Linked DNA regions of Drosophila melanogaster. The protein of the gene in region 2 interacts with the protein of the main gene of each other region in a pairwise test. Each region holds a gene or a part of one and is shown on either strand. Other genes may lie near its edges. The genes, in order: Gpxl and Oxp.

Region 1 (3,517 bases), 1.4 Mb from region 2:
AGTCATAATTTAATTTGTTCCATAGCCGCTCTAAAAAGTTATTAAAAGTAAAACTCAAAAAAGTTATCCAAAAGTCCCCTTAGTATAACAAATGTGTATTCTCTTGATGAATAGTGAGACTCCAAGCATCACGATAATTTTTAGGTAGTTTTAAAAATTCGAAACAATTTCAATCGAGTCAAGGGAAATTGAAATTCATGTACATTGCTTAGTTAACACAATTTTGGTACACAATGCAATGTTTGGCTCTTTCAAACTTTTCAAGCAAGTATTGTGCCCGAGGTCGAATGGCATTCAATGCCCCCGCACCGCCACTCGATTGTGTCACACGGGGCGGATGGTTGACGTGACGTGCGCCAAGCTGCAACGTTAACTGCAATTTGATAAAGCAGAGTGACAAGTGCAGCAGAGCAAAAGGTCAGCACTCCAGCAAACACTATCACCTTCTCCACGCTCCTTTCCACGCTGGCCATTTGCAACTGACAGAAGTCAGCGGGAAGGTGACAGGCGAAACCAGGTAAGACCGTCAGAAAGAAATCGCTTGGCATGTGATGCCAACATCAGAAACAGTAATCCCCAATGATAAGGCGTCACAGTTGTCGCAGTTATGGAAGCCAGTGGGCAGAAACGCGTATGTTGCGTTATTTATTCGGACTCATCTGCCGAGCAGCAGCTCTATGTCATCGGTCAGGGCAACTGGTTCCAGTTCGGCGCCATATCTCTTGTGGATGTTTCCCTTTCGATCCACCAGAAACTTGACAAAATTCCATTCGATATCATGCTGGTGGCGCGTTAGGAGCTTGTACAGCGGATCTGCCTGAGCTCCCTTTACATCTATCTTGGCAAAGAGGTGTCCTATGTTGGCTCCCTCCCTGCGCAGGTGATCCAACATTTCCTGGCCATCGGACTCGGGCATTTGACCCCCAAACTGGTTACAGGGAAAGTTTAAAATTCTCAAGCCCTGGTCTTCATATTCCTCGAGTAAATAGCGCAAACCGTTGTACTGAGATAAAGTAAGTCCGCATCTGAAGTAAAGGGTGGGCCAAGTTATTAAGAACTTTCTGTGGATCATTCTTACTTGGAGGCAATGTTGACGATAAGCAACACATGGCCGGCGAATGTATCGAGTTGCACTGGATTCCCAAACGTATCTCGAACGGTGAGAGCGTGTATCGTCAGACGCCATCGCATATCCTGCAAATCCTGTTGCAATCTGCTGCGTGTTTGTAATACTACCACCAAGGCCACTGCAACCAAAAGGCCTGGGAAAAGAAATTCTTTATCGAACATCGTCTAGCGTGCTAACTGCATTTGGGATCGCTAAGTGAAGCTGGGAAAACGCTTTAAGTGAAAATCGATTCGAGAGGCTAATTGTGCGTGAAGCGACTGTTAAAAATCGCATTTAAATGTGCGGCCCTTTCGTTTCGGTGCAGACACACACACACACATACACATGCCCCAAAAAAGTGGCAGCTAAAATTGAATTTGCCCAAAAAGAGCTAAAGTTGCATATGCTGACCCACGAAGCGAGTTGCACGTTAACTTAATGTTAAACTTTTTTTGGCCTCTGCCTGCCACACGAAATGAGAGCACAAAACACACATACACACACACACACACAGATGCACACTGAAAACAACAACAACAAAAAGTTGAACAATCGTAACGAAATAATTGAATTTTCATTTCCGTTTTATGTGTTTACTTCCGCTTCATGGACGCGGCACCATTTTCTCCAGCTTTTCCGTTTGCCCTGTCCATATGTGTGTGTGTGTGTGTGTGTGTGGGCTTGGTGATTTCGGCCTATTTGTATACAAAAGGCAGTCAATTTCTGCCAGCTTGAGGAAACTTTTTAAGTCAATTGTCAAAAAGTTCTTAACATCTTTTCCCCAGCCACGCCCCACTTTTGTGGACTCGGTATGGCTCTGTTTCTGTTTCATTTTCGCTGCCAAAATTGAAATATAATTCGGTAAAGTTGCGCCTCTTTTCGGTTCGGCTTTTCCACTTAGACGACGTTTGGATTTGGGCCATAAATCAATGCCAGGCGAAAGGCGTTCGACTGAAATTGATTTAGAATGCGTGGAATGGGCGTAACTTCTTACGGTCGTCAGTCAAGCTTCTGCACTAAAAACAGTCCGAAATGCCAGTGCATTTTATAGTTTGGCTGCAAATCACTTTTCAAACTCTTTGACACGCAGAAAAATATGTCACACTTTCATAAAGCTAAGAAGGAAAAGGCATGATATATTTTAAAACCTATGTAAACAGAATTATATGGCATTATTAAATGCAAAAACAAGAAGACTATTTACTTTAACGATTTTTTCCCATTAGAAAAATATATCCAACTTAACTCACAGAAGAAAGCACCTTTAATAGATCACAGCTGAAATTGTGATTATCATAAAATCAGCATAGAATGATTGCCAACCGGTTTTATAGCAATAACCAGCGATTATGCTAAAAGACATCTCCGTCAGACTCGAAGTCAAATCCATCGAGCATCCAAGATGATCAACTATAGCGGTTTTGCATATTTGATGCACTTGGCATAAACTTAATAAACTTTGCCCCCAGTTACAGGTTATAAACCCGGCGCACCAAACTCGTAAAGATGGAAGCGCGTTAAAGTCACTGAGCCACAACTCGTTGTTTTATGACCAACTCGATGAACTTGCCGCTCCCCCCGTTTGCCATTTCCATCTGGTTTTGTCTAAGCATCTGCCATCATTCTGGCTTTTGTTGCACCATTTTTCACTATTAACAGTAGCCATAAAAGTAGCGTTTGCGCCAATAAAACTTTTGACATGTGGGGCAGGAGGGTTTCCTTAACGTTTTTTTTTCTTACTTCTAGCCGGGCCAGGTGTTACCTTCAACCTTTGCACCTGAGCTTCTCCAGTTGCGTCTGCTGGTCCTGCATCTCCACTTGTCATTTGCCACTGTGGCCCCAGCTACTTGCTACTTGCCACTTGCGCATTTAATTAAGTTTACGCCGCGCTGCACACGCAAAAGGACGAAGGACGTTATTAATTAAATTCCTTTATACACAGGTTAAGCCAGCCATCCCCTCCACCACCTTTCGCCTTTGTGTGTCAACAATTGGAATATTAACGAGGCAACTAATGAAAGTTTACAAAGCCGGAGTCTTTTCCGCCGAAACAAATCGAAAGGGAAACATTTAATAAAAGTCGCACTCACCGATTTTCCGCCCGAGATCAAAGCAATTGCTAGACCAGTTCCCCTAGCACCACTTGACCCACACGGCGGATGCGTGATTTTCGCTACCAATTATAGTGGATCGTCTTGGGAGCCTTTTTGCAGTGTCTGCGTGCAAATCCCGCCGCGTTGATGCACTGCGGCAAAGGTTTCGGACCCCTAATAAGCCACGACCTTAACGGACTCACACATCAAAGCAAGAGCACGCACACCCACTTACACACTGGCTTATAAGCCCCAGACACGCAGACATATGCAAAAAGGATATGTATTAACTGTACGCATTTAAGCCGCTTGTCGA
Region 2 (2,938 bases):
GTTTTCCAATGGTTCCCAGGTGTTGTTCTCGTTCGGAAAACCGCTCCACTTCACCAGAACCTGGGGACGCCCATTAACAAACCGTTTGCCTAAGATTTTCTCCACTACATATTCTTCGACATGATCATTAGGCGGTGCATCGACCAGACCAAGATTTGGTCGCTGATGGTTGCGAGACATAACTTATCCGCTCACAGGACGCCGAGCAAAAGAACGGTAAATGGAACGACGCGCAAGGAGGTGCTGCTAACCCACTCGGAATACTATTAGGGATGGGAAAGCTTTTGGTATTTTTTTAATGTGCATAACTCACTATAAGACTTCAATAAGCAACAAATAAATTAAGCTAATTTATTTGACTCTGCTTAATAAATTAGCTCGCAAATAATCTTAACATGATAACCGTATGAAAAGCCTGGCGCTTCTCAGCAACGTTTTTGCAGCCCTGGTTATATTTTATTGAAATATACATATGTATAATAAAATAAAAGCCATTAAATAATGGGAACACGATCTATTAAGCTTTTATTTGTAAGCAATAATTTTTATTAAAATCTTTTTTTTGTCATTGGTCATTCTTTTTCTCCCGGCTCTGCTGGAATAGTTCGGCCTCGTAATCCGCAATCAGCGTCATGCACTTGCCCAAGTTCTCCAGGGGCTCCCAAGTGCACTGCTCTATGGGATAGCCCTCCCACTTGGTCAGATACTGAGGGCGTCCACGCAGATAGCGCTTTCCTAGAAACTTCTCCACTATGTATTCCGAAGATTTCTCCTTGACGTTTCGGACACCCAAGCCCAAATCGATGGATTTCTGGGACATGATCGCGCGCAAGTTAGGCGATTAGTTAGTCAGTTATACTGAGTCAGCACTGCCAGCTCGCTCGAAAGACAACAAGGGATGGGAAAACTCAAGATGTGCACAATTATGTATCGGAGATCGACTTACTCTAAAAACTTTATTTGAACATTTTCTTGTTAAGTATAAAAGTATTGTGAAGAATGTTGTTGCAAGAATATGAAATGTTACATAACGTCTCATGGATAATTTCTAGTTTTAGAAATTTTATAATTTGTCCAGATTTTCCGATAGCGAGGAGTTAAGTTAAGATCACTAAACAACTAATTGTATCGATAGCACGTTCTCAAGAAATCGGTTCTGCCAATCGATTCATTTTCAAATGATACAGGAAGAATTATTTATTTAAGTGGAATTGCAGAAAGTTAACAGTTTTTGAAAAAGCAGTGGACAAGCCAAAGTATGTTAGCAATGCCTATTAACTATGTGAGAAATTGCTCCTTTTTAAGACTGACCATTATATAAAATGCCGCTGGCCTGGCGGTTGTTGCACCTGTTTTTGTTTTGGTTTTGGTTTTAGTTTCGGTTAAACCAGACATCAACAAAAACTTGTTTCGAAGTCGAGTGCAGTTTGCCTGAGCGGAAATAATGGTGGGCACTGTGTGGAAATGGGAATGTATTTTAATTGACCATTGGCAAAATCTGCGCTTTTCTTTTCAGGCCACAAAAATCGCACATTGTCTATGTAAATTCGCTTTCCACAGCCATAATGTTCGACTCGCGTTGGACAACAATGTCATTGGCATGTTTCCCATCATTACGGCGCACAGAAAATGCCAATTTACATGAGAGTATGTAAACTAGCAATTATTTCCACAGAGTCTGCATCTGGCGAAGAGATTTTTATTCATTGAAATGAAGCCAAAGAAATGCGTCACGTTCGGCCAGTTGGAAAAAGTAACGGCAGTGTGACAATTCAAAAAACTACGCGCCGTTTCGGACAAGATTCAAAATCTGTTTTGAAATACAGTCTTACTTCAGTAAGCTGAATTTCTTCTTCATTTTGATGTCAAACAATCGACTTGTATTGAAGATGTTGAAGTTTGATATCTAAATTAAAAACATGAATTCCAATTTCACAAGATTTTTTTTTATGTTTCAGAAGATCCAACTGGAGGAGTTCGAGCTATAGAAGTGGGACTGTAAGAGTCAGCCAACCTGTTGCCATTACTGTTATGATTTCGAGCGCAAAACTTGTGCCGCAACTTAGCCACATGTGCACATGGGCACAAACTCGTACATTTCTTTCACTTTCTTTCTTTCGGCACAACGGCAGTGGCGGCGAATTTGTTTTAATTCGATAGAGTTAACAACTTGGTACATGGCGGAATAAAAGTGAAACCGGCAAGGCGACAACAAGGGCAGCTGGAAGGGTCTTTTCTGGGGCTTTCGTTCGAGCGCTTTTCAAAGTCAAGCGGCGGATTCACTTTCGTTTTCATCGCAATATTACAAAATATCCAAAGCGACATGCAGACATGTGTATATCTTTAGTATTTAGTGTTTAATTTGCATAGTCGAACGCCAAGAAACTCGAAACTTGTTTGCCCATTCTGCTGTTTGCTTGCTTTTTGGCCGAAACACGCGCGACAAAAATGCTTCTGCATTATATACAAAAATGTTGCTAGCCGATTTCAATAAGTTGTATTTCTTGATTTTTTCTCTGAAATGATTTAAGTCAATATTCATATATAGATGTGTACATGTGTAAATATGTATATACAAACATATGTATGTATGTGGCCCATAGAAATGATGCGGTGTGATCATCGCTTCATTAGCAAGTTAATTTTATTAACCCTGCTTTTGTCTCTCGGTTTTTGCTGGTTTCCATAAGGCCCAAAAAAGATTCCGTCTCGGATTGCGCAGTAGAAAGGTTGTGGTGTATTGATGTCTTATGCAACAGATTTAGTTTTAATTTGTTTTGTTTGGACTTTTTCAGCCTTTTGTAACTTTGTTGCCCTGCTTTGTTGCTGATTAATTTGAAGATCGAGATCCGTTGTAATTGTGTAAATATTATGTCAAGCTGACGTGACACTCTCCCAAGTTCAATGACACGCTTTTCCCCTAAAAAAAATCACTTAA

Evidence for each region.
Region 1: the proteins of Oxp (region 2) and Gpxl interact in a two-hybrid assay, tested with the Drosophila melanogaster proteins (one large-scale study listed by BioGRID).

Annotation. Positions count from the first base shown.
Region 1 is NT_033778.4:19,054,624-19,058,140, forward strand, and holds Gpxl (glutathione peroxidase-like), read right to left. Parts: upstream 1,302-3,517; 5' UTR 1,291-1,301; coding exon 1,079-1,290; intron 1,026-1,078; coding exon 656-1,025; 3' UTR 608-655; downstream 1-607.
Region 2 is NT_033778.4:17,633,297-17,636,234, forward strand, and holds Oxp (oxpecker), read right to left. Parts: upstream 872-2,938; 5' UTR 821-871; coding exon 566-820; 3' UTR 501-565; downstream 1-500. Other genes in the region: rhi (rhino), read right to left, coding at 1-180.